Linked DNA regions of Rattus norvegicus. The protein of the gene in region 1 binds, or shares a complex with, the protein of each later gene. Links are inferred from orthologs where the notes say so. Each region holds a gene or a part of one and is shown on either strand. Other genes may lie near its edges. The genes, in order: Tnnt2 and Tnni3.

Region 1 (3,805 bases):
TATGGCTGGCATGCCCATTTGAGGAAAGTAGGTGGTTAGAGGTACAGACTAACAAGGAAGCAGATAATCTCCTCTCTCAGAATGGAATTCTGGGTGTCGTCTAGGTTTCCAGAAACCGATCCCATGCTCCCCATCTAGTGAAGCACCTATGACTGATGGGTCAGGGACAGGGAGAGCACAGACATTTGCCTGGTCTGTAGTCCACAGCCAGTGGTGCCTGGTTAGGCCCAGCCAGAACCAGAACTTATCAGATCCAGTTCCTGTTGGCAAGGAGCATCCACACTGAGAGGCAGGTGGCAGGGGCCCAACAGAGAAGTACCCAACAGGTTGGCAGCTTGAGGCAGGCTGCAGGGGAAGAACAGGGCGAACTGTGGAAGATTGGCACGTACGATCCTGTCTTTGAGAGAAATGAGCTCCTCTTCCTCCTTCTTCCTGTTCTCGAAGTGAGCCTCGATCAGAGTCTGCAGCTCGTTCAGGTCCTTCTCCATGCGCTTCCTGTGGATGTCCTGTGGGGAGGGTCTGCCTGAGAGCCTGCCACGCCCATGAAATGGGCGGGCTCAGTGCAAAAGGTAGTGCCTTGGTTTGGCGCCTGAACCTGAACCTAAACCATCCTGCCAACGGCCAATCAGGAGCTCTTTCGCTCTTAGGAGAGCTCTTGTTATCACCCCCGCCTGCCTCGCTCCCCCACAGAGCCACCACTCACATCAAAGTCCACTCTCTCTCCGTCAGGGATCTTGGGTGGCACCAAGTTGGGCATGAAGAGCCTGCTGCAGAGAGGAATGGAGAGTCAGGGGTCACCAAAGCCACTGGGGATGCGTTCCTGGAGCCTCTGGGGCCTTTGTCCGGCAGGAATGTTCACCTCTGTCATAATGTCCACACCAGTGTCTACCTCACTTGCTCAGACAGCAACCAAGGTAATTTCATTTTGTCCTCTCACTAAATCCCTGGAGGGGACAGTGCTGACCTCCACTAGGAAAACCAAGGCTTAAAACTACACAGTTAGGAAGCAGAAGTACTAAGCTAAGATGGTGTCCCTAGTGGCGCTCTGATCCTTGATTTCCTCATATTTTCATGGGCCTTCAGCTAAAAGGAGATGCTCCAGGATACACAGAGCACCCAGGGACTAACAGGGATATGATTGGTAGGAGCCACTAAAGGCCACGAGGGCACTATGGCGCCATCTGCTGGCAGGATAAACATTGCCAAAGGAAGTGCTCCCTATCTCGATGGCCCTACTCACAGCCACCAGATGTGGTTCCAGGTATGGGCTGAAGCTGCCCTGCTCTGCCCTTTTGCAGCTCCCTGGAGCTGTCATCCCTGGGACATGGCACAGTATCACTGCTTGGTTCCACAACGTTTATGTCACTTCTCCCCTAGGTACCAACCCAGCAAAGAGAGAAGTCGTCCTGTGGCCATGACTAGCCCTTCCCCACTCTGTAGATGACTGTACCTCCCTCCATGTTAGTGTAAATAAAAGGTAGTGAGGTCAAGGCAAAGTTCAGCTCCCATTCCTCCCGTCAGCCAGAGGTTCTTGTGCAGTGCACAACCTGTTCAGCTCTCTGTGGAAGTCTGTGCTAACCACAGCACCTGCGCGTGTGCGAATGCACTCCTATCCCTTCCTGGTCACCCTCCCTCACTGGCCTCACTGGGCATAGATAAGGCATCCTGCTCACCTGGGCTTGGGTTTGGAGTCCTCTACTGGACCATCTGGAGGAGAGAGAAGGGTGTATGGGGTCAGAAAACCTGAATATTGCCAGCTCCACCCTGAGCTGGACACCTGTGGGCCTCTGTCTCCCTATCTGCACAGGAGGCCTCTCCTGTAAGTCTAGACTTCCATAATCACCAACAGGCATGAAGGTGACCTGGAGGTAAGGTCACAGAGAATGGCTGGCTGTGTTTACAGGCCCAGGATACTTGCCTGTTCAGGGTTAGGAAGATTACTTCTCAGACATTGCAGTAATGCACAGTCCTGTGGGAAGGCCCCAGGGGCCCTGACCCTAGAATTCCTCTCAGGCCTAATGTTTTGAACCTTGGACTTGCTGATGGCCACAGGGCCAGAAGAGTTAGTGGTCATGATTCCAAGGCTGCCCTCCTGCCCTAGGTATGTGTGACTGGAGACAGCTGACAGAGACTATAGCCTGACCAGGACCATGATGCCACAGCATGGACCATGATGTCTTGGAAGTCGTTCCTCCAAACATCAGACCTCACTGGCATAGCCTGGGTACCAGGAGCGTCAGGTGCGAATGTTACTTCTAAGAGCACTACCCTGCACACGCCAGGGACTAGACACTGGTTCCCTCTCCTGTTGGACACTAAGGCCATTTCTCTGAGATGAAGAAGACAAGGGTTTAGAGTTCCCCAAGCCCTGCACGTACCCCCAAGTTCTGCCTTCCAACCCTTACCTGTATAACTTCTGGTTATACCGGAATCCCTGGGTGGTTTTACCCAAGTCTACTCTGAGGGGTTCTCTCGTGCTGATGCCCAGCATCACTTACCTTCAGCATCTCTGGCTTCTTCATCAGGACCAACCTCTAAACAAAACATGAGCAATCAACAGAGGTCCCGTTCCAGCTCAATTTTCCCCTCAAGAGTGATGGATGTTTCCCATGGTCAGGCAGGCTACCCTGCTGATTTGTATGGTCAACCACCAAAGAAGCTCTGGATTGACAAATTTCAGCCAGACAACAGGCTGCTGCCTCCCAGCCCAGACAGGGATCTCAGGCACACAAGCTAGCAAGCACCTGCTGGACGACTTCTTAAAACACCGGCCCTCCCGGCCCCTCAGCCCCTCACCCTGGGTTGTACCTTCTGCCTTGTCCTCCTCTGCCTCTGCCTCACCCTCGGGATCAGGCTCGGCCTCACCATCCTCCTCCTCCACTGCCTCCTCTTGCTCTGGAGAGGTGAAACAGACACCAAGATCAACCAGGCCCCTCTCTCAACATGCAGACAGCAACCCCAGAACAGAGATCACACCAGGCACGGTAGAACAGAGCCAGTGACATCTGGGTTCACAACATACGGGAGCCACGGACCCAAAGGACAGAAGGAATGCTGCTTGGCTCCTGGTTCAAACTGGATCGCAAAGCCACACCCAGCCCAGGACTATTTCTGCAAAGATCCATATGGCCTCACCCACTCATCTGCACTCTCACCCACGTCTCAACCCCACTCGTAGGTCAGTGCCCCCAGGGACTATGGGCCTGCATGCCCACAGTATTCGCGGTCTGCTCCTTTGCAGGAAAAGTGAAACCCAACAGAAGGGTCCCAGCTGACTGGTAAGTGTCCCAAATTTGCCTCCCTGGGAGTTTGGAAATTTGAGTTCAGTCTTCCCTAGTGTAGATATATAGATAGATATAGATATAGATATAGATATAGATATAGATATAGATATATAGATTATAGATATAGAGATAGAGATAGAAAGGTAGAGAGATAGAGTTACAGATAGATATATAGGTATATAGGTATATAGATATATAGATAAATAGACATGTAGATATATAGATAAATAGATAGATAATAGACATATAGATATATAGATAAATAAATATATAGATATATAGATATATAGACATATAGACATATAGATATATAGGTAAATAGATAAATAGATAAATAGACATATAGACATATAGACATATAGACATATAGATATATAGATATATGTGTGCTAACTGGAAACTGCTGGCCAAGCCAGATATTGGGGGTGGGAGCAGGTGATGGGGTGGGCAGTAGTGGAGGACATCAAGACTCGCTGGGGACTAACTGAGGTGAGAGTCTGTCCAGCCTCTTTCTGCCCAAT
Region 2 (4,301 bases), on another chromosome or scaffold:
GAGTTCCCTTTATCCGTAGCTTCTCACTAGAACCCCAAATGTGTCTGCTCTCTGTCTGGACCTTATGGCCACTCAGACCTTCCCAAGCATCTTCCTTCTTACCCTAGCCCACACTCACCTTCTCAATGTCCTCCTTCTTCACCTGCTTGAGGTGGGCCCTCAGGTCCAAGGATTCCTTGGCCCGGGTCCCCAGTAGTGCCTGCATCATGGCATCTGCTGAGATTCTCACTCTTCGGAGAGTGGGCCGCTTAAACTTGCCACGCAGGTCATAGATCTTCTGGGTCAGATCTGCAATCTGGGAACCACCATATGGGGCAAGGAGACCGCGTCTTCCCTCTGCTTCCTCCCTACCCATAGCTTCTAACAAACAATTCCCCCTTATCCCTATCTTGCTCTCAGTATCTAAGCTTCCTCCTCTCTTCCAGCTCTGACTCCAGATTAAAGGCTCCAATCTGCAACTTTGTGCTCTTCCTGATACTCCGAGTCCCATCAATCAAAGCCTCTAACACGACCTGGCCCAATGATGTGCAGATCATTATTCCCAGAGCCCAACTCAGTGCTCAGTTTCTACAGACCGATTTAAGCCACCCAGGTTCTACCTTGCACGTGTTGTCTCTCTGTGGGAACAGCTGCCTTTGCCACTGCCTGCCTTCTGCTTAGAGTTGTCTAAAGTACACACAGACATAGCCCTCAGTCTGAAGCTACAGTCCTGGACATCTCGGTCTACAGTGAAGGTGCTCAGACTTCCCCAGGCTTCCCACCTCAGTGATGTTCTTGGTGACTTTTGCTTCCACGTCGTATCTCTCTTCATCCACTTTGTCCACACGAGCGTGAAGCTGCCGGCATAGGTCCTGGTGAAGGAATGCATGGGCGTTGAGAGGAAGGCTGGAGACTCAGGTCTCTGATCTGAGAAAGGAGACCTCCCGGTCTGAGGAAGGAGGCCTAGGCTCTGGACCCCTGAGTTTGAGAGAGGAGTGCTGGGGTCTGGACTCCTGAGTCTGAAGAAGGAGGGGGTGAAAGGAAGCTGACACTGGAATCCGCACTCTAGGGAACTTAAAAAAAAAAATGGCCAGGAGCCAAGAATTCTGAGACTTAGCAGACAAAGGCAGGAAAAATACACTGGATTTTGAATTGTAAGACTGAATGTATAGCTTGGCATAAGGATTGCAGATCCTGAGCAGAACTGGGGATGGTTCTTGTGCTCCTGATACCCAAGAGATGCCAGGGCCGAGATGAGAAACATCGGGACCCAGGCTCATCAGGAATTCCTGCTTGGTAAACTGATACCTGAAGCTCTTCAAAGCCCAGCCCATCCAACACCAAGGGCTGGCAACGCGTGCTCAGAACGCGGCCCTTCTCTCCACGTCGCTCCTCTGCCTCACGCTCCATCTCCTGCTTCGCAATCTGCAGCATCAGAGTCTGCGGAATGGTGGGAGCCGAAAACAGGGTCCCCGAAAGTATAAGAATAACAAATTTCCCTCTATCTCGCTATCTTCCAGAGAGACAGAATATCCAAACATCCAAGTTTGTGTCTTTTATTAAAAAAAAAAAACCTTCCCCGTTTCTGTGTTCTGTGCACGCGCACGTGTGTGTGTGTGTGTGTGTGTGTGTGTGTGTGTGTGTGTGTGTAGGGGGACTGACGCACTCCGAAACGAAACCACTCCCCAAAAGCTCCGCCCACCAAGGCCCACCCCTCCGAGCTCTTCATCACCTTCAACTGAAGTTTTCTGGAGGCGGAGATCTTAGACTTTTTCTGCCAGGGTGATAGGGAGAAAGGTCAGTGAGAGGTCCCAAAGTGGACATTGGGCGGGGCTGCAAGGCACCACCACCCACTCAAGTGCATAACCATTCGGCTCACCCATTCTTCAACCAGAATGCTGAGTCCACTGGAAGCCACGTCCTTCGGTCCCATCCACCAATCTTTGTCTCTGACTAGAGCTACACACTGCCTATCTATCCACTGCTAATCACCGTGCTCACGCCTATGCCTTGCTGTAGGCAGAGGAGTTTCTCCCACAGGCAGCTGTCACCAACCCCAACCTGTACCTCTTTGAAATTCTGCCCCACCCATCGGGCTCCACCCCTTTCCAAGGCCTTGGTGCCGCCCCTGGGGTCCCAGAGGATTCTGAACCCAGAAGTACCGTCCTCTAGGACCCCTCCCCACCTTGGCATGTGGCTCGGTGGCATAGGCTCGGTAGTTGGCCGAGGAGCGACGTCGGACAGGAGCAGGCGCCGGCTGGGGTTCCCCAGCCTGAAATTGAAGCAGGCTACATTACTACCCCAACCCTCCCATCCAGTCCTTCCCGGATTCCTCACCTCTAGCTGCAGATTCCCCTGCCCATCGGTCCCCAGTCCTCTCCCTGCAGCACCCTCTCTGGGCCACGGGTTCCCTACCCCACTTCTTAGGTCACAGTGCTCACCGCATCGCTGCTCCTGAAGGGAGAGAAACCGTGAAGATAGAATCATTGACAGCAGTCCTCCTGAACAAGGTTGGGGCTACCTTTTCTACTCCCTTAGACCCCAGGAGTCTGATTCCCGAATTCTTACCTCATTTCTACAGAAATCCAACCACCCTTGCCTCCTACCATCTCAGGACAAGAATTCAACCTAGTTGCACCCTCACAAGGACCCTGAAGGCTGACTGCACCGTGTTCCTTGGGGTCTCCAGTTCAAGGTTACCAAGGTTCACATACTCATCCGCCATGCTGATCTCCAGAGGTAGAGAATGGGATTGCAGATTCCTGGAGGGTCTTAGAAGGGTGTCCCTGGTGACCTTGGAGGGTTGGGTCCCCTCTGTGCTGCTCAAGCCTCACTGAGGACACTGAGATAAGGGGCGAGGACAAAGACTAAATATACTGCTGTCTCCTCCCCTTCCCAGGATGAGCGATAACAGGGTGTGAGGGGAGCCGTGTGCAAAGCTCCAGTTAGACCAACCAAGGTGCCCGGATCTACACCCCTCCTCCTTTTGACTCTGGGCCCCAGCTCCCTTCTCCTTTAGACTCAGGAAAACCCAGTAGCAAGGTCCCTCTTCTCTCAAATCCAAGAGTCCAGACTTCAGTTTCCTGTGTAGATTACCCAAAAATCCAGGCCTTCCTTCTTTCCTCACATGTAGGTTCCTCACTAAAATGTAGTCTTTCTGTGACTTTTCTCTCCATGTTTCTGTCAGTTTCACTGCCCTTAGCATGTTTAGTTTAAAGGTTCATGTGCAGGACCCTAAGTCCTCAGCCTACACTGATGTGAAATTCAGCCAAGTCCACTTGGAAACCCACCATCCGGGGCCCATCCCCCCTTGTCCCACCCCCTTCTTGGCACTGGAGACCAACAGAGGACAGGACACACAGAGGTGACCCTGCGCTCTTTATTTGAACCGCATCCAAGGGAGGATATGTCCTTGTCCCTCCAACAGTAGCATGTCAAGAAAGGCCCAAGGCAAAAGAGGATGTGGAGCCCAGGGTTGTACCTCTGGCCTGGGATTCTTGTCAGGATAAATCTTAGATTATGATCTAAGACACACACACCCCAAAAAAGACTAGAACTGAGAGTTCAAGGAAAGGAATTTGAAATTCTAGTTATATCACTGGGGTTGAGAAGGAACGCAGAGTAAAACAGTGGGCTGAGCTGGTGTCAGTCCTGGAGCCTGCTTCAGCAGTTAAAGGTAGGATTCTTGGTCCCCGCGGTTCATGTTACATGTTTTAGAGGTGCAATCGCCGAGGACATTGCCAAAGCTTCCTGGACTGGACTTATCACTTCCGGAGGAGGGGCCAGGTCTGCTTGGGGAGGACTGATTGCTTCTAGAGGCAGGACTACCTCAGCCTGAAGTGGGCTCATCGCCTCTAGAGGTGGAATCTGGTCAGCTCTGGGTGGGCTCATCGCCTCTAGAGATGTGGCCTGGTCAGCCTGGGATAAGCTAATTGCTTCTAGAGAAGGGGTCTGGTCAGCCCGGGTTGGGCTCATCAATTCTAGAGATGGGGACTGGCCAGCCTGGGGTGGGCTCATTTCCTCTAGAGGCAGGGTCTGGTCAGTCTGGGGTGGGCTCATCAATTCTAGAGATGGGGTCTGGTCAGTCTGAGGTGGGTTCATTGCCTCTAGAGGAGGGGCTGAGTCAGTCTGGGATGGGCTAATTGCTTCTAGAGGAGGGGCCTGGTCAGCCTCGGGTGGGCTCATAGCCTCTAGAGGCGGAGTCTGGTCAACCTTTGGAGGGCTCATCACCTCTAGAGATGGGGCCTGGTCAGCCTGGGGTGGGTTTATCGATTCTGGAGTAGGAGCCAGAACTTTAGAGGGCACGGGTCCAGATTCCACAG

What was found.
Region 2: the proteins of Tnnt2 (region 1) and Tnni3 are in contact, whole or in part, in a crystal structure (PDB 4Y99), measured with the Homo sapiens proteins. The link is inferred for Rattus norvegicus from reciprocal best matches to the Homo sapiens genes TNNT2 and TNNI3. Residues at the interface, in NP_001263274.1 of Homo sapiens: Glu214, Lys217, Lys218, Ile221, Leu222, Arg225, Arg226, Lys227, Leu229, Ile231, Asp232, Leu234, Asn235, Glu236, Leu239, Arg240, Ala243, Lys244, Leu246, Trp247, Ile250, Tyr251, Leu253, Glu254, Ala255, Glu256, Lys257, Phe258, Asp259, Leu260; in NP_000354.4 of Homo sapiens: Arg68, Glu71, Lys72, Ala75, Leu76, Arg79, Gln81, Pro82, Leu83, Leu85, Leu88, Gly89, Phe90, Leu93, Gln94, Leu96, Arg98, Leu100, His101, Arg103, Val104, Asp105, Val107, Asp108, Glu109, Glu110, Arg111, Tyr112, Asp113, Ile114.

The regions. Positions count from the first base shown.
Region 1 is NC_086031.1:49,828,823-49,832,627, reverse strand, and holds part of Tnnt2 (troponin T, cardiac muscle), read right to left. Parts: intron 2,938-3,805; exon of another isoform or gene 2,896-2,937; coding exon 2,809-2,895; intron 2,535-2,808; coding exon 2,499-2,534; intron 1,708-2,498; coding exon 1,674-1,707; intron 768-1,673; coding exon 704-767; intron 507-703; coding exon 390-506; intron 1-389. UniProt on the Homo sapiens protein: Troponin T is the tropomyosin-binding subunit of troponin, the thin filament regulatory complex which confers calcium-sensitivity to striated muscle actomyosin ATPase activity.
Region 2 is NC_086019.1:78,341,078-78,345,378, reverse strand, and holds the start of Tnni3 (troponin I, cardiac muscle), read right to left. Parts: upstream 2,809-4,301; 5' UTR 2,705-2,808; coding exon 2,694-2,704; exon of another isoform or gene 2,589-2,693; coding exon of another isoform or gene 2,548-2,588; intron 2,434-2,547; coding exon 2,421-2,433; intron 2,252-2,420; coding exon 2,165-2,251; intron 2,078-2,164; exon of another isoform or gene 1,913-2,077; coding exon of another isoform or gene 1,859-1,912; intron 1,754-1,858; coding exon 1,712-1,753; intron 1,420-1,711; coding exon 1,288-1,419; intron 852-1,287; coding exon 762-851; intron 296-761; coding exon 119-295; intron 1-118. Other genes in the region: Dnaaf3 (dynein axonemal assembly factor 3), read right to left, coding at 3,679-4,301. UniProt on the Homo sapiens protein: Troponin I is the inhibitory subunit of troponin, the thin filament regulatory complex which confers calcium-sensitivity to striated muscle actomyosin ATPase activity.